3 linked regions of the Anolis sagrei genome follow. The protein of the gene in region 1 purifies or fractionates together with the protein of each later gene. This does not show direct contact. Links are inferred from orthologs where the notes say so. Each region holds a gene or a part of one and is shown in the gene's direction. Other genes may lie near its edges.

What was found.
Region 2: the proteins of INAVA (region 1) and CYTH1 purify together in Homo sapiens (co-immunoprecipitation; 3 studies listed by BioGRID and IntAct, counting the BioPlex papers as one, with this or other methods). This does not show direct contact. The link is inferred for Anolis sagrei from reciprocal best matches to the Homo sapiens genes INAVA and CYTH1.
Region 3: the proteins of INAVA (region 1) and CYTH2 purify together in Homo sapiens (co-immunoprecipitation; 3 studies listed by BioGRID and IntAct, counting the BioPlex papers as one, with this or other methods). This does not show direct contact. The link is inferred for Anolis sagrei from reciprocal best matches to the Homo sapiens genes INAVA and CYTH2.

What each region holds. Positions count from the first base shown.
Region 1 is NC_090024.1:185,461,554-185,469,622, forward strand, and holds the start of INAVA (innate immunity activator protein), read left to right. Parts: upstream 1-5,044; 5' UTR 5,045-5,519; intron 5,520-8,069. UniProt on the Homo sapiens protein: Expressed in peripheral macrophages and intestinal myeloid-derived cells, is required for optimal PRR (pattern recognition receptor)-induced signaling, cytokine secretion, and bacterial clearance.
Region 2 is NC_090022.1:128,857,823-128,865,434, reverse strand, and holds the start of CYTH1 (cytohesin-1), read left to right. Parts: upstream 1-4,528; 5' UTR 4,529-4,632; coding exon 4,633-4,711; intron 4,712-7,612. UniProt on the Homo sapiens protein: Promotes guanine-nucleotide exchange on ARF1, ARF5 and ARF6. Promotes the activation of ARF factors through replacement of GDP with GTP.
Region 3 is NC_090026.1:20,066,910-20,074,205, reverse strand, and holds the start of CYTH2 (cytohesin-2), read left to right. Parts: upstream 1-4,261; 5' UTR 4,262-4,384; coding exon 4,385-4,403; intron 4,404-7,296. UniProt on the Homo sapiens protein: Acts as a guanine-nucleotide exchange factor (GEF). Promotes guanine-nucleotide exchange on ARF1, ARF3 and ARF6. Activates ARF factors through replacement of GDP with GTP.

The sequences.
Region 1 (8,069 bases):
CTCAAGTCATAAGCAGGGAGAACAAGACTTCCCAAACAAATACCTATGTTTCCTGGTTATCTATGTTTTATGCTCTTGAAACCCCCCTTTTCTTGTAATTTTTATACTGTAAATGATTTGTTGTTATCGTGAAAAAACATCACAGTCCTGACCTTAACCTTTGGAAATCTCTATTCAGATTCCTTAACTGTGTGGGATGTTTTCCAAAATGCCTCCTTTACTTTATTGTAGAACAGTGTTTCTCAACCTGGGAGTCGGGAGGAGGTGTAAGAGGGGTCACCAAAGACTATCAGAAAACACAATTTTCTATTGATCATGGGGGTTCTGAGGGGGAAGTTTGACCCAATTCTATCTGTGCGGTTCAGAATGCTCTTTGATTGTAGGTGAACTTTAAATCCCAGCAACTACAACTCCTAAATGTCAAGGTCTATTTCCCCCAAATTCCACCAGTGTTCACATTTGGGCATATTGAGTATTTGTGCCAAGCTTGGTCCAGATCTATCACTGTTTGAATCCACTGAATGGAAGTGAACTACAATTCCAAAACTCAAGGTCAATGCTCATCAAACCCTTCCAGTATTTTCTGTTGGTCATGGGAGTTCTGTGTGCTAAGTCTGATTCAATTCCATCATTGGTGGAGTTCAGAATGCTCTTTGATTGTAGATTAACTATAAACCCAAGCAACTACAATTCCCAAATGACTAAACCACCCCCCGAAAAACACCCACCAGTATTTAAATGTGGGAGTATCAGATATTCGTGCCAAATTTCATCCAGTGAATGAAAATACATCCTACATTTAAGATATTTACATTATAATTCATAACAGTAGCAAAATTACAGTTGTGAAGTAGCAACAAAAATAATTTTATGGTTGGAGGTCACCACAACATGAGGAACTGTATTAAGGGGTCACGGCATAAGGAAGGTTGAGAAACACTGTTGTAGAACCATATACCACACTGTAATTTATGTTTCATTCTCATCATTTGTGATGGTTTAAGGCACAGCATAATAGCACTGTGACATTATGCCATGATTGTATTAGAACAACTAAAAATATTTTAAGGCAATGCATAGTCTGGGCAAAACTAGGCAGTATGAACAACACTGTCAGAACCAAGGATCTTATACTGCAGAAAAGAAAATAGTGGAATATTACGCCATTAAAGCGCAAATATGCCTTGATATGCCGTTAAAGCACAAATATGCTTTAATAGCATATTAAACTGTTTTCAAAGCAGTTTTCAAATGGGGTGACATGAAAAAATAATAACTAGTGTGATAGTTCTGCTCATTATGCACAGTATGAACCGCTTTAGTACACAATAAATTTGGGAGAAATTAACACAACTTCTGAGAGTGGTTTAACAGCTCTGGCAGGAAGACAGCATGAAGGATCCCCAACCTGTTTCATCGCCCAATTGACAGGTGTATATACTCAAACCTTGGAAATTGTTGGATCAATACCATAATAGGGAAAAGGACTCACAAAAGATCACTGCGACTCATCCTCTGCAAGCATTCAATCTTGCTTGCTCTTGTACCTGGAAACCTGATGGGCACATCCTTGACTAACGCCATCAAAACTGTTTAAAACCCTTAGATGTAGGAGAGTCCACCATCAACTGAGGCTGTCCACTCCATTGTTGAGTAGCTCTTACTACCAGAAACTTCTTCCTAATTATGTAGAATTCCTCTTCTTGCAATCTGCATCTAATGATTAATGTCCTAATCTCTGTGCAACCTCTCTTCCTTTTCTGCATATATCTTCAGTTATTTACAGCCATCTCAGTCCCAGAAAATATTGTGCTACATTCACCTTAGGCTTGTTATAAATTTGAAATTACTTAATGGCACACAACAACAGTATATTCCTGCCTAAGGAGATATTTAAAGGTAAAGGTTTTCCTTTGACATTAAGTCTAGTGAAGTACAACTCTGGGAGATAGTATAGTGCTCATTTCTATTTCTAAGTCAAAGAGTCCGAATTGTCTGTAGATACCTCTAAGGTGATGTGGCCAGCATGACTGCACAGAGTGACATTACCTTTCTGCTGAAGCGGTACCTATGGATCTACTTCCATTTGCATATTTTTGAACTGCTAGGTTGGCAGAAGCTGGGGCTAACAATGGGAGCTCATTCCGTCCCACAGATTTGAACCACCGACCTTCTGATCAGCAAGTTCTGCATCTTAGCGGTTTAATGCACTGTGCCACGGCACCCCCTTTAAGGAGATATGTATGACCCCCTTATTTCATTGTCACAGTGTACTTGTGAGGTATCAAGAAGCAAGAGGTCATGAAGTCAGTTCAAAGGCTCAGTGGAAAATTAGAATCCAGATCTGGGAACTATATTGCAGTTTGACACTGCTTTCACTGCAATGGAATCATGGGAAGTTGTAGTTTTATAAAGTTCTTAGGCTTCTCTGCAGAGTGCTGGTCCTTCACCAAACTATATCTCACAGGTTGTTGTAGGTTTTTCAGGCTATATGGCTATGTTCTAGAAGCATTCTCCCCTGATGTTTCTCCTGCATCTATGGCAAGCACCCTCAGAGGTTTTAAACAGACCTTATAACTTCTGAGGATTCCTGCCATAGATGCAGGCAAAATGTCAGGAGAGAATGCTTCTAGAACATGTCCATATAGCCCGAAAACCTACAACAACCCAGTGATTCCAGTCATGAAAGCCTTCAACAATATAGATCTCCCAGGATTCTGTAGCACTGAGCCATGGTAATGAATGTGGTATTTATTTATTGTATCAGACAGGCCCGTAGCCAGGATTTTGTTTCGGGGGGGGCTAAAAAATTTTTCAGGGGGGGTTTCGGGGGGGGGCTGAGTTTCAGGGGGGGGCTGAGTCTGAGTGAAAGAGGGTCTAGCCTAGCAAACCTTTTGTATCATTACCCCAATACCCCCATGCATATGGGATATATTGAGTATGGTGATCAGATCATGATATGAATAAACATAACAGTTTAAATAATGCACCAATAAGGCCTTTTCGCGAACCACCATGAAAATTTCGGGGGGGGCTGAAGCCCCCCGAGCCCCTCCCCTGGCTACATGCCTGGTATCAGAAGCAAACTGATGGTACAGTTGTAACATGTTTAAAAACACAAAGTTTAAAAATGCAGCATGAGAGAAGCCTTCCCGCAGCATTGCAACACATCTGAGCATCCCCCCCGGCAACATCTTCGCAGATGGCTGATTCTCTCACGCCAGAAGCGACTTGCAGCATGCAACCAAACAAACAATGAATTTGGTGTCAAAACTGAATTATGTTTTGTCGGTTTTCACTGGGTTGCTGTGAGTTTTCCAGGCTGTATGGCCATGTTCCAGAAGCATTCTCTCCTGCCATTTTACCCACATCTATGGCAGGCATCCTCAGAATTGAGGGGTCTGTTGGAAACTAGGCAAGTGAGGTTTATATATCTGCGGAATGTCCAGGGTGGGAAAAATAACTCTTTTCTTTCTTTTTGATACTTATGAATCTCTTGTATCTGAATGTTTCCCAATGGTGTTCAACAATGGTACATGATACAATTTTAATGATACATATATTGTGCAGCTAGATACTGTTCCAAATGATGGTGAAGCAAATGTGTACAAGATGCTAAGCAGAAGACTCCAAAGGATTTGTATTATTGAAGGCTTTCATGGCTGGAATCACTGGGTTGTTATGAATTTTCCGGTTTGAATGGTTATGTTCCAGAAGCAGTCCCTCCTGACATTTTGCCTGCATCTATGGCAGGCATCCTCAGAGGTTGGGATGCCTACCATATATGCAGGTAAAATGTCAGAAGAGAATGCTTCTGGAACATGGCCATACAGCCCAGAAAACTCACAGCAACCCAGTGAATTAATTCTGTTGTGTAGATAGAATCATAGAATCATAGATTTGGAAGAGACCGCATGGGCCATTCAGTCCAACCCCCTGCCAAGAAGTAGGAAAATTGCATTGAAAGCACCCCTGACAGATGGCCATCCAGCCTCTGTTTAAAAGCCTCCAAAGAAGGAGCCTCCACCACACTCTGGAGGAGAGAGTTCCATTGCCGAACAGCTCCCACAGTCAGGAAGTTCTTCCTAATGTTCAGATGGAATCTCCTTTCCTGTAATTTGAAGACATTGTTCTGTGTCCTAGTCTCCAAGGCAGCAGAAAACAACCTTGCTTCCTCCTCCCCATGACTTCTTCTCACATATTTATCCATGGCCCTCATCATGTCTCCTCTCAGCCTTCTCTTCTGAAGGCTAAACATGCCCAACTCTTTAAGCCACTCCTCATAGGGCTTGCTCTCCAGACCCTTGATCGTTTTAGTCACCCTCCTCTGGACACATTCCAACTTGTCAATATCTCTCTTCAATTGTGGTGCCCAGAATTGGACACAATATTCCAGGTGTGGTCTAACCAAGGCAGAATAGAGGGGTAGCATTACTTCCCTGAATCTAGACACTATACTACTATTGATGCAGGCCAAAATCCCATTGGCTTTTTTTTGCCACTGCATCACATTGTTGGCTCATCTTTAACTTGTTGTTCACGAGGACTCCAAGATCTTTTTCACACAGGTATTGCTCTCGAGCCAGGTGTCCCCCATTCTGTATCTTTGCATTTCATTTTTTCTGCCTAAGTGGAGTATCTTGCATTTGTCCCTGTTGAACTTCATTTTGTTAGTTTTGGCCCACTTCACTACTCTGTTAAGATGCACCCCCAGTCTATCACTTGGCTACCCCAAGCAACGCAGTACATTCACCTGTGGATTTTTCTGTTTCCCTGAATCCTATTATATCCTCCCCATCTTTGTCCAAAGAACTTGGAGGCAGGCATTCCTGGCCCCTTGCTGTGAGCTAGCTTATTAGTTTTGCCAAGCTAGGCTCGGTCTATCTGGCAAAGCCTTCTGCTAATCCATCACTAATACGACATTAATAGCCAGCTGCCCTGCACACTTTCCTTCTGGGGAGATCTCTCTGATGCCATTCTTTCACACGTTCTCACGGCACAAAAATCCGCCACAGGGGAGGCATTGTATTGCCGGGAAGAAGTGCTTTGATTCAGCAAATGACTCTTTCCTACCACGAGGGCTGGAGCAAGCTGGGCTGGAAAATGGGATAAGAAAGGGGGAGGCGATTATCCCCTTATCAAACCAGAAATTAACAGAAAACTGCAATATCAACAAATTTAAAAAGGGGAATCTTGCAGCGTGGGATGTCTTTGCACTACATGTCCCAGGGAATTCTTGGAAATCCCCCCATTCCTTTGTAATGGAGCACATTGAGGAGAGAGATTCCCCTATTTTCTCCCAGGGAGTGGTCTGCCCCAGGGACAGATGTCTTCGGATCTTTTCACATTTGGGGATGTCGCTAATGCACGAAAAGCTTCAAGAAGTTTGAGGAAAGTACCAAGAAGAGCAGGAGAAACCTGGAAGACGGAGGAAGCAGCAGCAGCCGTCTCCCCCCTTCCTCCACTCCTTAGGGACAGAGCAGAAAGCCAAATAAATGGAAGGACTTGCTTTTAAATAGGTAAGTGAAACACTGGGCAGAACTTTTTGGGATGAGTGAAATGAAACCTTCTATCCATTGGGAGGAAATATGTGTAAACAAGCACAGATGTGATGGAATCAAGGCACTCTTACAAAAGGACAGATCCCTTTCTCGTGTAACTTGGGCATTAGCTTGTTCACAGAAGTTCTCTTTGACTATGTTGGAATTTCCCCCCTGAAATCCTTTGATGGGCACCAAGGGTTAAAGGAAAGTGCAGACAAAAGCAGGATCTTCTTCCAGTAGCTCCTGTTGTTGGAGTCCCTGCTACTACCAGAGGTACTACAATCTCAGCAAATGGCTGAGGAGGAAATTGTGTGTAGGTTGATGCTTCTTGAAGAAGGAAACTGATGAGCAGCATCTGGAGAAGTTGGGTTATTGTAGGTTTTTCGGGCTGTATAGCCATGTTCTAGAAGCATTCTCTCCTGATGTTTTGCCTGCATCTATAATAATAATAATCATCATCATCATCTTTGACAAAATCACGATTTGTCAACTGCAAAAGGCCACCTCACTTGGATCTGTGCACATCGTCCAAAAATACATCACACAGTCCTAGATGCTTGGGAAGTATTCGACTTGTGATTTTGTGATATGAAATCCAGCACATATATCTCGTTTGCAGTGACATACTGTGTTTTTGTGTCAGTATAATAATAATAATAATAATAATAATCTTTATTTCTTACCCGCCTCTCCTTGTGACTCAAGGTGGGTCACAACATAGCTAAAACACATAAAATCATAAACATTATATAAAATACATATCATAAAACATATTTCTACAAATACATATATTAAAATACACAGAACAAAGCTTAAAATATAGTGAACACAAGATGTGAGTTTAAAATTCATCATGAAAACTGGCACGGTCTCCATACAAAAATCCTCCCATTTATGCCTTAAATGCTGGATTTACTCAAAACCCTTTGGCACTGGGCTTTTAATCATTTTTTTTGAAATTAGTATATTGAATCAAATCATGGATTTCCTGTCTGCTTGTTTTCTGACACTTTCAAGATCGCCAAAACATTAGTGTCACAGTTGAAACTTAAGGAGAGATTGAAAAGTTGGTTTTGGGGGGTGGGGGGTGGGTGGGATCTGAGATCTTATTGAGATCTGCATGCATTATTCTCCAATACATGATCTTGTTTGCTGTGCACTCATCCTGTTGTGTTTCAAATAATAATAACAATAATAACTTTCTTTGTACCCCATCACCATCTCCCAAAGAGACTTGGGTGACTAACATAGGGCCAAGCCTGAGCAATTACAATAAGGCAAAATAAAATAAAATACGTACAAAAACAGATGATAACATCAAGCGAAAATGCTAAACAATGACATGGTAATATAGTGACAATAACATAATAAAACAGAGTATAAAACTGTACAAGGATTAACAAGGGTGAGCTGGGCCAAATGCGAAAGGTAAAAATTGTAAAACCTGTGGGTGAGATAGGTAGATAAAGTGCTGTGTCTAGTGAGAGACTCTGTGGGATAAACAATGAGGTTAATCTCCCCTGAGGGATGAGATAAAGTGCATCAGAAAAACAAATCGACACTGGGACGGGACCTGGTATAGGAATTAGTTATTCATTCTTCAAATGCACACTGGAAAAGCCAAGTTTTAAACTTTTCCTAAAGGCTGCCAGGGTTGGTGCTTGCCTAATCTCCCTGGGGAGTGAATTCCAGAGCCACGGGGCCACCACAGAGAAGGCCCTCTCCCTCGTCCCCACAAGTTATGCTTGTGACGGAGGCAGGAGCAAGAGGAGGGATCACGCAGGTTCATAGGAGGTTCATAGTGGGCTCACAACCTCTGAGGATGCCTGCCATAGATGCGGGCGAAACATCAGGAGAGAATGCTTCTAGAACATGGCCATAGAGCGCAAAAAACCTACAACAACCCAGTGATTCCGGCCATTAAAGCCTTTGACAATTCTCTGGAGAAGTTACTCTTTTGAAGCACAACTCCCAGGGCCCTTCCACACAGCCATAAAACCCAGAATATCAAGGCAGGAAATCCCACAATATCTGCTTTGAAGTGGGTTATCTGAGTCCAGACTGTTACACAGTTCAAAACAGGTATTGCGGGATTTTCTGCCTTGCTATTCTGGGATATAGAGGGCTGTGTGGAAGGGCCCCCAGAGTTGCCCAGCAGTGAGTTCCAGAATCAAGATTTTTAAAAGTTATTTCTCTCATCTCTGGTTACAAAAGAAAAAAATAGGGAACTACTTGTTGGAAAAGGATCATCCTCTTAGTCACACAACCAGAAGAAAAGAATTGGAAGAAGAATGTGAAAAAGAAGAAGAATGTGAACAAACAATTGTTTCTGGACATAAGAAACATCTGCAGCAGTTTAATTCTTCTCGGTGCTAAAATACATTTGCCATTGATTAATGTTTTCAAATGTCGCTTTCCCCACAGAACTACATTTCTTTGGGATAGCTCTTTAGACAGTAACCATGAAAACTTTGGACTAACCACTGCAAGTATGTGACTGGGGGCCCTTCCACACAGCCCTATATC
Region 2 (7,612 bases), on another chromosome or scaffold:
ATTAAAGAACATTTTCTATTCCTGCCTATTGCAGGGAAGATAAGGGCTTCTTGCTTAGATCAATACAACCAGCAATTTTTAAAAATTGAATGCAAAATAACATAATATTTGAACAGATAATAAATGTAGGCTTACACTGAGGTAAAGTATTTCTGTATTATCTATTCACATTCTTTACTTTTTAAATATTTCCTCCCACCTCCCTTCCCTACCCTTCCCACCACATTTCCCTCTATATCTTTATCTTTAACCACAAACACAATCTTCTTAATCTTTGTACAATGTCTATGCTGGCTTCACCTTCTTCTGCTCATCTCATATAAATTGCCCATTTCTCTTTAATTACTTCTATTTTGTCCTCCTGTGAACCTTCTTGGTTTATACATGTAATGATATCCAATTGGACTTGCTCATTTTTTTCATTTCCCCATCCCCAGTCTATTACTGCCTTTCATGCTAGGGTCATTGCTTTAAATAGATCTTGGTTCTTTGCAGCAATGTTTTTATTCCCTATAATTGTCATTAACATAAGTTCCATATTGACTTGAACGGTTATTTTGAATAGTTTCCCCATAGTTTTTTTTAAATAGCTTCATTTCCTTTTTATATTTAAGACGGAAAATATGCCCCCTGGCCTTGACTCTTGGGGCTAGAATTCTTTTCAATGTAAGCTAGGCAGCTAAAATTATTGATCCTTGTATAAAGGTGATTTGAGGTTCCATTATCTGTTTTCTCTGGACATCCACGTAGTCAGCATATGTGTGTCTCTTTGTGTTTGTGTTACTAAGCCTTAGATTTTTCCAATCCTTGAATGCATGTATTAATATTGTCCTGCCAAATTTACAATAAAAGAAAAAGAAAAGAAACTATAACAGAGTGTGAGCCTCTATGGGGGAAAGGCTCCTATCTTCTTGTTATTTTTCCAGCTCTCTGGTTTTTCTTGCTTATACTGTTCCAAACACATCTTCTTCATTCCTGTCTATCCTGTTCTCCACCCTAAAAAGAAACATCTTGTCTGGACACAGTGCTTTATTTTCCACAACATTTCATTGAGCAGCACAGTTGTTTGCCAATTTCTTAAACCATTTCATTTCTACTCAATGGCATATATAGTATAATGTATAGTATAAGGTATAGTATAAAAGAATACACAATTATACGTAGTTGATGTTACTTCTGCTAATGAGAAATTATTGCCCGATTCCTGTTGACTGGTGAAAGAGGCCAAGTGCTTATTTATTGGGAATACTCATAGATGGAGTCTGAACCAATTTATTGAAACAATTGTCTTGTTCTCTGTCTGAAGAGCAAGGAGATTGAAGATAAGTGGAAATTATTTGATTTGGCTTGCTCCTGGGATAATCTAATTTAGGGAGTATTGTCTCCATGATTAACACATCTCAAAGCATACCAAATGATTAGGAAATTAAGATGTTTTTTTTCACCCTTTCTAGTCATGGAGCTTCCAGAAGCTGCATTAAAAGTACTTCATCAGAATAGAATTAACCCAGAGACTCCATCTAATTTTTTGACCAGCAGTTCCATTAGCCCTGTGGTTCCCATTCTTTTTTTGACCAGGGACCACTCTCTAACATTAGTATCAAAAGGGTTACAAATCAGTTTCTGGTCAACTTTAGATTCAGTTTGGTTATTTGGGGTGCTGATTCAGAAAATTGCATTGGCTTGACAATATAATCTCTCATTTCCAATACAGAACATATGCCATCCAGTAGTCGCCATCTAATTGCCCACAAAAAAACATATTTAATAATCTAGAGCTGATGTGGTTGTAGTAATCTTTTGTGGGTAGTTAGCCTCTCCCCTCCCAATATCCCTGTTGCCTCAGCACTATAAGAGGGTTTTGCGAGACCAGTTGCTCTTGTTGCCGCATGGTTTCAAGACAACAGTGTAGTAATGGTGAGGCTGCGGACCATATTTTATGTAGTTCTTGCAGATCGCTGGTGGTCCACGGACCACAGGTTGCAAACCATTGCATTAGCCAGATAGAGTGAATAGTGAAACTGAATAATATTTGGACAGGATCCTGAAGCTGAAGAAGAGATATATACAGTTGGCCATCTGTATCCATGAATTCTGCATGCTTAAAAATACCCCCAAAAAACCCCACCACCTTGGTTTTGTCATTTGGTGTACAGGGTACCATTTTACTACACTATTGTATATAAAGGGACTTGGGAATTTCTAGATTTGGGTATTGTGTATGCGTGTCCTGGAACCAAACCCCAGCAGATAGCAAGGGCCCACTATATAATCTTTGTGCAAGGTGTTGTGTGAAAGGTTTTGTTTCATTCCCTTTTATCCCAATAGCAATTAATTTGTCAAAAATCCTTGGGAGGCTGCAGGAGTGTTTGTAGGGCTGCATTTATGGTAAGGGTCCCATATTGATCCCTGCCCCATGCAGCCTTCAAGCATTTGGCAGACATCCCAACAGCTGTGGACCTTCTTTTCCCTCTCTCCTGCCCTGCGTTCTCTGCAGCTGAGCTGTGCACCTGTGACTGTAGATAAAACACTCCTTTGTTTCCCCTTGTGCCTTCTTCCAGTTGCTACTCTAACATGTGCTATAGAGTTTCTGGCCTCAGTGAAGGTAACAGCTATTTACAAGCCTCATGGGAAGAAGTCAGATGCAGAGTAAAAAAAGGAGGACATGAGCCCTGTTTATTGGGGCTTCAATCCTCGAGGCAAGTTATTCTTGAAGAATTCTCAGCAGTCGCAGCCCCATGCAAAGCATTGTCTATTGGGCCACTTCTTTTCACCCAGTAAACATTATTTTTCAATTCTTTGTTCCTTTGCTCTTCCTTTCTCGGCTAACAAATTCCAGAATTTGTGGTGGTTGTTTTTGTTGTTGTGTGCCTTCAAGTCATTTCCAACCTATAGTGACTCTTAAGACACACCTTTCCCAGGATAAACTTGGCACAGTTGTGCAGAAAAGGTTTGCTATTGCTCCCCTCTGAGTCTGAAGAATTTGCCCAAGGTCGCCCAGTGAATCTTTATAATCGAGCAGGAATTTGAACAGGGTATTCTGAGTCTCAACCCACCTTTTCATATGGTAATTATTTCCAGTAAGACTCAACATTTTATACGAGGGTTATCTGGAAAGTAAGGTTACAAGGTACGTAACTCTCACGGGGAAGTTGATATCATTGCAGTGTAGCGGGAAGCCAACGGAAGCAAACGAGCAGTGCCAGCCATCAGCAGCTCTTCAACTAGCATTGTGGTGAAGGTTAGAGATGAGCATCCTCATTCCATTTCCCTCCAAGTGCGAAGTTTGCGCTGTAATACACAACCTAAATGCTAAGGTTATGAACGCCGCTGCAATTCATCGCAAAATCATTTCAGTTTATTGAGAGGATGTAATGTCAAGACAGCATATAACAAAATAGATATGGGATATACTGAGACCATGAAGAAACTTCTCAGAGCCATTCAAAACAAATGTCATGGGATGCTGATGGGGGGATGCTTTAATGCAATAATTGGCTGATAGAAGAAACTTATGATCTGCCAACCATGTTTTAAAGGATACCCAGCAAGTTATAAGATAGCCAATACCTATTAGAAAAGGAAAGTGCTAGCCCAGACATGGACAAACTTTGGCCCTCCAGGTGCTTTGGACGGGCTAAAGTTTGCCCATGCCTCTGCTAGCCAAACCCCTTTCCTTGTCCAAATACTTAGCTGACCTTTCTGTTTCATGAGAACTAAAATATCCCAAATCTGTTTTTAAACCCATGAGGCTCGTCCATAGTTGCCATATTTGCCACACACTATACAATTGCAGCTCTTTTACTTTCTGAACCCTTTACATATTTGGCTAGTTTTCTCTATCTCATGTTGCTTAGATAGAAGCTGCTTCCTGAAGTATGAGATCTTTGTCTCTAGATGAGAATTGTTCTTCCTTTGAACTGTACCTGCCAGAGAGAGCTGCATGCTGCGGCTCCTGATGCTTTTCTTTTTTTCTACTGCTGGTTCCACCTCTCTCATTGTGCCATGTTATTACACTCGTCCATACTCATAAACATGTACACACACACATCACACTCTTTGGTGCCTGTACACACTATATTTTGTTCACCTTCCCTTTACGCAGCCACTGTTGCCATGCAACAGCCCAGCTTGCTAGATGCTTAAAGCCCTAAGAATGAAGCCGGATAAAACTGACCTAAAAATACCCTTTGCCCAAACCTCCTCCTGGGTAACTGGGAGGAGTGGCTGGGGCGGGCACAGAGGGAAAAGTTCCCAAACTGGACTGCCCTCTAAGTGGCTGTGTGTGTGTCTCGTCTTGTTGACCGTACCATACGGTTACAGTAAGAGTTTCCTGGCAGGTAGCTGGGATTGGCTGGCCTCACTGCGTGGGAGCCTCTGCTGTTCCTTCTGCTTCAGCTGGACCAGGGATCCCTCGCTCGGTCTCTACCCCCCCCCCCCCAAAGTCTGGAGGAGGAGGTGGTGGCAGCAGCTGCTGCTGCTTCTGCTGGAGAAAACCATTTGGTGCCTGGACTCCAGGCACTCTTCCTTACCTTCCTGTTGGCTGCCTCTGACTTGCAAGGTTTTTCTTCCCTGTCCAAGAGCAGCCACCCCACTCAGGCTTGAGAGAGGGCACCCTCTTAAAGTATCATCATGGGCACCGTGAGTGAGCTCTGTGCTTCCAGTTTCCAGGCCTTCCTCTTCCCCTCCACTTTGGCAGCAAACAAATCAGGTAGGTAACATACCCTCGCTCCCTTGTTTTCTCTCCAGAAGTATGTGGCCAGTGGTAGAAGTGAAATATATGAGGGCTGTGTACGTGTCTGCGTTACTTGTGTACTGCTATGCCCTCTCTTGCAAGATGAGTCATGACAGGCATAGGCTATCATCTTCTCCTGGCTGGAGGCGGCTAGTTAGATGAGATCTGAGGCATGCCTTCAATGTCTTTACCTGCACTGTGGCTTCCCTCTTCCAAGGCAATGTTCATGCAATAGTCAGTGTTTGACCTAACTGTGACCTTGCCTGCTTCAGCTTGTAGAATTCAAAAATCACTTAGTTTTCAGTGGGAAGGAAGTTCACCCACCCATACCCTCCTGCCAAAGTGCTTTGGCTTTGATTTCATCAACCCACCCATTCACCAAATGGTTTTATTGGAGAAATGACAAGTTGACTATCAAACTTTTATCATTGGAACAAAGCCATTACCAAAGCTAAATCTTAATCGGTAAACTGGAAATCTAACAATATTTTGGTAAAAAGCAATGATATTAGCCATGTGTCCCCTAGCCATTATGCTGCTGGTAAAAGCACAACGCAGGACCACATAACACTAGAGAATAAATCCACTTAAAATCTGGTTTCTGCCTCCTGCAGAATTCTGGGGTTTGTAGTTTAGTGTGGCTGTTAAAGGCTCCTCCCTAAACGACAAACCCCAGAATTCTGTAAGAAGCAGCAACCAGAGTTAAAGTGGATTCATTCTGTAGTGTGATGAAGTAATAAGTGTTGGTTCATGGCCTTGTGTTGGTTTAGAAGAGAGGAGAGAACATTTCTGTTTTTGATATCAGAATACATTTCTTCACACACACAAATTCAGATCAGATGTAGGGCACATTACACACCACAGGTTGACTTCCAGACGTAACTGGTTATATCTTCACAGTATCTTACCTTCTGTAAAAGCAGGAAATATTCTTAATCTCCAATTCTTTGTTCCAGAATTTGTGGTGGTTGTTTTTGTTGTTGTGTGACTCTAAGACACACCTTTCCCGGGATAAACTTGGCACAGTTGTTCAGAAACGGTTTGCTCTTGCCCCCTCTGAGGCTGAAGGAGTAGGACTTGCCCAAAGTTACCCAGCGATTTTTTATAATCGAGCAGGAATTTGAACATGGTATTCTGAGTCTCAGTCCACAAGAAAGAAAGGGACATGTATTTGAAACAGCCTTTACAAAAGATCATCTTCTCACTCAGAAGGCTGGCTGCATAGCAGTGGGATTGTGACTGTGGCCACTTGCCTGGAATCCCCAGAGTATTATAACTTTGTAATGCAATGGATCATAAATTTCTGTGGACCAAATTTGGGTTTTACCTTATGGGAATATGAATGCATGTTATATTTAAAGTAAGCTTGCTCTTGAGGCTTTGGGCCTTCTCCATTCTGAACTCAGTGTTTTCATTTTTTTATAAAAAAAATTCCTGCCATGCTGGAATATTGTGGCTGAGATATCCTATGACAAAAATGGGAAACACCAAAGCACCAAAACAGTTTTGACAAAACAGAAAACAAGGCAACTCTAGTTATTTGAGAAAGTCCAGCCAGGTATTGTTCCTATGACAGTTGAACTGGCCCTAGATTTTCCCCAGCTTGGAGAAAAGGTAAAGCTTAACCTGCTTAATGTCTGCCTGTTGAACAGAGCCACTACTGGAGGGGAAGAAAAGATGGCAATCCGGATACGGCTGTCTGGCTAGCTTGTTTTCTGTGTCTGCTCCCTTGCTGTGTGAAAAACAGATGGGCGGAGGTACTGCTTGCTCTGATAAGTTTGTGGCTTTTTGAACAAACAGTGTTCATAGCGGAGGTAGACTGATCTACTCTTAAAGCTACTTAAAAATTAGAGGCTGTTATTTCAAGTGCAGATGAACTGTACCGTGCTAAAGCTGATCTTGTAAATTTGTGCTTCCTGGTTCAGGGGCAAAGCTGCAGTCCAGGAAGTCAGGGCTGACTTGTTTGTCATTATCATCATTTGAAAGAGACATTAAGTGATTTCTGTGAACCAGAATCATTACAACTGAATGGGGCAATTAATAAAGAAGCTGGTAGCTCTTCCCAAGATCTCCAGGACCTGATTTCCCTCACCCTCCCAAGTTAGTATCCCCAAATCTTTGTTGAGCAAATGTATAGACTATCTCTGCATGGATTTGAGGGATCGGAATTTGCCAGAGCCCCCTTCCACATATCTTAATTAAAATCCCACATTATATGGCAGTGCGGACTCACATAACCCAGTTCAATGCAGATATTGTGGGATTTTCTGCCTTGATCTTCTGGGTTATACAGCTGTGTGGAAGGGCCTTTCATCTCCAAAGAATTATAGATGGAGCCTTCCCTATTCCTCCATGTCAACAGAACAATGTTTCCACTTCCCTTAATCAACCATTCAAGGAGCTGACATGCTAGTTAATGATTGCCTATTAACTGCAGTAAAATATATAGAGGTAGTCACTGAAACCAAAACTGCCAGCTTATCTTTTGTTTTCATTATGATTTTATCTATTAGTCAGAACTGCGTATTTTCTAATTTCAGGAGAACCCAGTCAGCATAGCAAAGAAGACCACATTGCTGGCCACCTGCCACAACAGTGGTTAGTGTATATCCCCAAAAGGGTACAAACAATCTTCAGAGAAATAAGTTTCATATTTAGCTTAATTGTTCTTTTTAATAAAGTACTTAATGTAGTATGACCAGGGGCGGCTCAACCCAGTACGCAAAGTAAGCATTTGCAGTATAGTTGATTTTGCCCAGGGGCGCTCTTGAGGCGCTCTTGGGGGAAAATAGACCTTGACATATGCGAGTTGTAGTTACTGGGATGTATAGTTCACCTACAATCAAAGAGCATTCTGAACTCCACAAATAATGGAAT
Region 3 (7,296 bases), on another chromosome or scaffold:
CCAGAGTTTTTAAGGTTGGCTTTGAGCCCATCTTTAAATCTCTTTTCCTGTCCACCAACGTTCCGTTTTCCGTTCTTAAGTTCGGAGTAGAGCAACTGCTTTGGGAGACGGTGGTCAGGCATCCGGACAACATGGCCTGTCCAGAGGAGTTGATGTTGGAGGACCATCGCTTCAATGCTGGTGGTCTTTGCTTCTTCCAGCACACTGACGTTTGTCCGCTTGTCCTCCCAGGAGATTTGCAGGATTTTCCGGAGGCAGCGCTGATGGAATCGTTCCAGGAGTTGCATGTGACGTCTGTAGACAGTCCACGTCTCACAAGCATAGAGCAGGGTTGGGAGGACAATAGCTTTATAGACAAGCACCTTGGTCTCCCTACGGATGTCCCGGTCCTCAAACACTCTCTGCTTCATTCGGGAAAATGCTGCACTTGCAGAGCTCAGGCGGTGTTGTATTTCGGCGTCGATGTTGACTTTGGTGGAGAGGTGGCTGCCAAGGTAGCGGAAATGGTCGACATTTTCTAACGTTACACCATTAAGCTGTATCACTGGCATTGGAGAGGGGACGGCTGGTGACTGCTGGAACAGCACTTTGGTTTTCTCGATGTTCAGTGACAGGCCAAGCTTTGTGTATGCTTCTGCAAAGGTGTTGAGAGTGGCTTGTAGATCTTCTTCCGTATGCGCACAGACGACATTGTCATCAGCATACTGGAGTTCTATAACAGATGTTGTTGTGACTTTGGTTTTGGCTTTCAGTCTGCTGAGGTTAAACAGCTTGCCATCTGTCCGATAGATGATTTCCACTCCGGTGGGAAGCTTCCCATCAACAAGGTGTCTTTATCTATGGTGGAATGGCCCTCTGTCAGGAGGGCTTTGTGTCCAGCCTGGCGGGGGGGGGGGGGGTATGTGCACTCGATGACATTTATGGGTCCCTTCTAAATCTATGGTACCACTGGGCTGGCCCTTCCAAAGACCTGCTGAGAGCCAGCCAGTGTTCGAGCTCTTGGCCTTCTCAGGCAACTTTCAATTTTCTGTTGGCTTCACAGTTACATAGGTGGAAAGCACACACTTGTGCCTTGGCAGAGTTAGGCTTCAGGTGGTTATCTTTGTAGTAGCTAGAGAGATCTTTCAGGGCATTAGTAAGCTGTTTTTTGGCTGTTTCGTCATGTGCTTATATTGTTAGGCCAAGGTCATCAGCATACATAAAGCTCTTTGTGAGTGGTGGCTGTGGCTGATTGCTAGTAAAGATGTTAAGCAAGGTCGGTGCAAGAATGCTGCCTTGAGGCAGACCATTATTTTGCCTCCTCCATCTACTTTTCCTGAGTGCAATACCACTTCCTTCCAGGTTAGATGTATAGGACTTCAGGTTTTCAAAATAACTAATAACAGTAAAATTGCACAATGTTGCTCTTGTTGAAAAAAATAAAAAATAAAAACCCAACGAATAGAGTGTGAGGTTTGTAGAATTAGACTTATGTCTGTCTTTCGTTTGTTGGTGTAGTTTCTGTGTGTTTGTGTCTATGTAAGTGTGTGTTTTGTTGGTTTGTTTCTAATGTAGCTTTGTACTTTGTTGTAGTAGCTAGTTAGTTAGCTACATAATTTTAGCATTATACATAATAAATTTTCTCCTTTTTGTGATATTATTGCTTTTCACTTAAAAAATAAAATTATTTAAAGATGGCAAATTTAGAAAAGTTAAAAATACTGAGACTGGAATGGCAGATAGATGTGATTTTAGACCAATGTAGAGTTTATTGCCTAATTTATTTTGTCTTTAAGGTTGGCCACACAGCTTTGGAGTTGATTGTTATCCTGTCAGTGATGTGGAAAAGAGACTTTCCCAAAACTTCTGACTGCCAGCTGGGCTTAAAAAAAAATCCTTCTCTGCCTTTCTCACATGATTGAACCTGTTTTTCGTTTGTGCTGGCTTATCAATAAATCAAGTAGCAACCCTTCAGATCAGCTGTGCAGAGCAGCTAATTGGCATTATTTACACAAGCATATATAGTAGAGTCTTGCTTATCCAACCTTTGCTCATCCAACATTCTGCATTATCCAATGCAGTCTACCTCTCGCCCGGATCCACAGCTGTTTCAATACATCACAATGTTTTGGTTGATTTGTTTGGTTATCTACAGCTGTCTATCAATGCTTGTATATTATATATTTCAATGCTTGTATATTATATATTACATGTAATATTGCTAATAATATTGCAGTATAGTGGAATATACTACTAATATTGTACTACACTAATAATTACAATATATTGTAAGTACCGCTGTGAGTCGCCTTCGGGCTTGAGATACAGCGGTATATAAGCAAAGTAAATAAATAAATACATATAATATTGATCATGATGTTGTAACATAATACTAATAATACAATATATAATAATTATATATTTTAAATTACATGTAATATTACTAATAATATTGCAGTATAGTGGTATAGTACAATATAGTAATATATAATGCTAATATTGTGCTATGCTAATAATATAATTAATATTATTAGAAAAAAAAGAAAATATATTGGATTTCAGTAAGGCCTTTGACAAGGTCCCCCATGACCTTCTGGCAAGGAAACTAGTCCAATGTGGGCTAGGCAAAACTACGGTGAGGTGGATCTGTAATTGGTTAAATGGACGAACCCAGAGAGTGCTCACTAATGCTTCCTCTTCATCCTGGAAAGAAGTGACGAGCGGAGTGCCGCAGGGTTCCGTCCTGGGCCTGGTCCTGTTCAACATCTTTATTAATGACTTAGATGAAGGGTTAGAAGGCAGGATCATCAAGTTTGCAGACGACACCAAATTGGGAGGGATAGCCAATACCCCAGAAGACAGGAGCAGGATTCAAAACGATCTTGACAGATTAGAGAGATGGGCCAAAACTAACAAAATGAAGTTCAACAGTGACAAATGCAAGATACTCCACTTTGGCAGGAAAAACTAAATGCAAAGATACAGAATGGGGGACGCCTGGCTCGAGAGCAGTACGTGTGAAAAAGATCTTAGAGTCCTTGTGGACAACAAGTTAAACGTGAGCCAACAATGTGATGTGGCGGCAAAAAAAAAAAAAAGCCAATGGGATTTTGGCCTGCATCAATAGGAGCATAGTGTCTAGATCTAAGGAAATAATGCTACCCCTCTATTCTGCTTTGGTTAGACCACACCTGGAATATTGTGTCCAATTCTGGGCACCACAATTCAAGAGAGATACTGACAAGCTGGAATGTGTCCAGAGGAGGGGGACTAAAATGATCAAGGGTCTGGAGAACAAGCCCTATGAGGAGCGGCTTAGGGAACTGGGCATGTTTAGCCTGAAGAAGAGAAGGCTGAGAGGAGATATGATAGCCATGTATAAATATGTGAGAGGAAGCCACAGGGAGGGGGGAGCAAGCTTGTTTTCTGCTTCCTTGGAGACTAGGACGCGGAACAATGGCTTCAAACTACAAGAGAGGAGATTCCATCTGAACATGAGGAAGAACTTCCTGACTGTGAGAGCCGTTCAGCAGTGGAACTCTCTGCCCCGGAGTGTGGTGGAGGCTCCTTCTTTGGAAGCTTTTAAACAGAGGCTGGATGGCCATCTGTCGGGGGTGATTTGAATGCAATATTCCTGCTTTTTGGCAGGGGGTTGGACTGGATGGCCCATGAGGTCTCTTCCAACTCTTTGATTCTATGATTCTATGTATATATAACTTGTAAGCTGCTCTGAGTCCCCTTCGGGGCGAGAAGGGCAGCATATAAATAAATAAATAAATAAATATACAAGCTATAGGAATGAACCCAGAGGTGCAACAGTCCTCCTCTTTCTTTAACAAGGCTACTGGCTATTTGAGTCCATAGCAACCGCCTAGGCCCCTCTTAGCAACAGTCTACTCCCTTTCTAGTTTACTCAAAAGGCGGAGCTGCTTTCCCTCCCTCTTATTGGCTGGCTCAAACGTCAGTTACCCTGATTGACACTTAAGCGTGAAGGAGGGCGGGTTCGAAAGGTGACATCTAGCGGTTCATAGATGTACAGACTTTTCCAAATGTATGAAGAGGTGGGGACAGTTCGAAGTCTATCGCATATCACGAAGCCGATCAGATGGGCAATAAGGGAAACTTTAATTGGACAACGCCCCTGTCAATATCAACCACGGAGGCGCCTATTGGTTGAGATAGACGTCTATCGTAACCATAACCGCTCCTATTGGCTCCATCGCCTCGCACTCAGGAGCGGGTTCGCGAGATCTTTCCTTCCTATTGGCCACGCTGTTCGTGAGGAGGCGGGACTTTCCTTTCCAGTTGTAAGGCCAGGCGGTTGCGGGAGGAAGGCGCAGCCGTCGAAGCCCCGAAGAAAGGAGACAAGGAGAAAGTGGGGAGCTCTGGGGACACTCTGGTCACCATGGAGGACGGTATCTATGGTAGGTTCCCCTCGATCAATCCACTGAGGGGCGTAAAAGGGGGGGGGGGAATACTGATTGCTTTGAGACCCACCCTGTAACTATAATGGGAAAATAGGCTGGGAGGGCTGAACCATTCTGTGCGAGACTAGGGGGCGGGGCCGATCCTTACAAAGAGGGGTGGGGCTGGAACGAACCAAACGAAACAGAAGGGGGGATACATAGCTAGGCGAATCCATTGTATGAAAGAAGGGAGACCCCTAATTGTATGATGGTCTGACCTGACCTGAATTCATTCAGTTATAATTACCCGGCGGGTCTGCTTTTTTCCAGACTGTACCATTCTAGTGTAGGGGGAAACTGGGCTGTACCATAGCAATAAGGATGAAGTACATTTCCCTACTGTATCAAATGGGGCCATTAAAACCTATGAACGCTGGGGGAATTCTGGGTCGTACCATTTTGTTAATAGGGGGAGGTAAAGGGAGGTGTCAAGAAACCTATTAGAATTTAAATGAGGGACTGTACCATTTCAGAGAAGGGGGAAGTGAAGAGAGGGGGCCCAGGAAGGCAGTTCCATCTTGTCTCCTGCTTATAATACATTGTATATACTTATAATATTTATAATATTATAATGTAATACAATAAATACTAATAATAATGATATTACAATTATCTATTTTATATTATACTAGCTTGGGGACCCGGCGTTGCCCGGGTTATTAGAGAAAGTGGGTAATGGCGGTTCTGTATGCCAAGTTTGGTCTTTATTGGTCTTTGGATAACGGCTGCATTATTTTCAGGAAGTGAGTGAAGGTACTGCAAGTCCCATCATCCAAAGTCCATCCTCTTTCAAACAGCAGCAGAATGTAGAGTGGATCATGGGGGCTGTATGTGGCAGGTTTGGTCTTGATTGGTCATTAGAAGAGGGTTGCAGCAATCTTTGGAAGGGAGTGGAGGTACTTGAAGTCCCATCATCCATGGTCTGTCCTCCTCCAAACTGCAGCAGGATGTAGAGTGGGTCATGGAGACTCAGTGTGCCAAGTTTGGTCTTTATCGGTAATTGGATGAGGGTTGCAGTGGTCTCAAGAATTGAGCAATGGTACTGCAAGTCCCATAATCCATGGTCCATCCCCGACCAAACCACACCAGGATGTAAAGTGGGTCATGAGAGGTCTATGTGCCAAGTTTGGTCCTGATCAGTCATTGGATGAGGTTATCAGCGGTCTCAGAATGTGAGTGATGGTACTGCAAGTCCCAACATCCATGACTCATGCTCCTCCAAACTGCAGTAGGATGTAGAGTGGGTCATGGGGGCTCTGTGTGCCAAGTTTCGTCTGTATTGGGAGTGTTCTGACCCAGCCCCCTCTGGCCTTTTCCTTTCCTCTCTTTGTTAACTCGGAATCTTGGAATTGAGGCTGGCCAATCAGAGACCATATGCAAATTTCCTTCTCATGTCCCCGTTTCTGCCATGAACTGTTTTCTCCACCAGGGGCTCCTATTGAAGCTGGCCAATCAGAGACCATATGCAAATTTCCTTCTCATGTCCCCGTTTCTGCCATGAACTGTTTTCTCCACCAGGGGCTCCTATTGAAGCTGGCCAATCAGTGACCATATGCAAATAGCACCACTGCGGCAGCCAATCAGAACGCTGCCACATACTCCTCCCGCCGCATTTCCTCTGTCCGATACAAACAAACACTCTTCTTTATTATATATACAGATGTAATATTACTAATAATATTACAGTACAATGGTATAATACAATATAGTAATATATAATACTGATATTGTGCTATGCTAATAATAATGAGATCATCTGGGGAGGCCCTGCTCTCGACCCCACCACTGTCACAAGTGAGGCTGGTGGGGACGAGGAGCAGGGCTTTCTCAGTGGTGGCCCCTCACCTGTGGAACTCACTCCCGGGGGAAATCAGGGCATCAACATCCCTCCTCACCTTTAGGAGAAGGGTGATGACCTGGTTATGGGACCAGGCCTTTGGGCAGTCCGGCAATTAAATCAGACAACCAGGCGAGTAAGACCAGCAGGATTGATGAAGTGGAATGTAAAACTAGATCTATGAGTAGCGAACGCTGACCATGTAAGAGGAGAAATTGGGTTTGTATTTGGTTTTATTGATTTTATGGTTATAATGCGTAATTGTTGTTAACTGTGTACTGATGTAATTTTGTGTATTATTGTTTTTATGATGCAGGCATCAAATTGTGCCTTTGCTTCTGTAAGCCGCCCTGAGTCCCCTTCGGGGTGAGAAGGGCGGGGTAAAAGAACCCCAAATAATAAATATTGTATGTATATATATCTTGTATAAGTTGCTCAGTCCCCTTCGGGGTGAGAAGGGCGGCATATAAGCATCATAAATAAATAAATTTAATTAATTAATTAATAAAGAAGATTATGGCTAATACTGTGGAGGAGGGAGATTGTGAGTCTGCTAGGAATTTAGCTCCCGCAAGATGTATTTTATTCCCAACCCACGTTGTTATAATAACACTTACTAATAATTTCCAATAAATTAGTATTATTTTATATCTCATTTGTGGGATGCAAAGTAGATTATGAGCTGCCAGGCTGAAAACTAGACTTTTGCTATGCTTTTAATGGTTTCATGGAAGAGAGAACTTCAGCAGGTGTCGCTTTGTCACACAATTGTCAGCATATGCTATTTGTTCAGAAGGGATTTTCCTTTATGCTCTATCTATTTTGCCATATAATGCATCTTAACTGCATTGAACTGGATTATATGGCAGTGTAGACTCATATAACCCAGTTCAATGCAGTTACCTGTATTCCGAAACTGCATTATTATATGGCATCGTAGCTGGGGCCTGAGGCTGAGAGAGTGCGACATCCCCAGGGTCACCAGTGGCCAAATGAGGGTTTGAATCCGGGTCT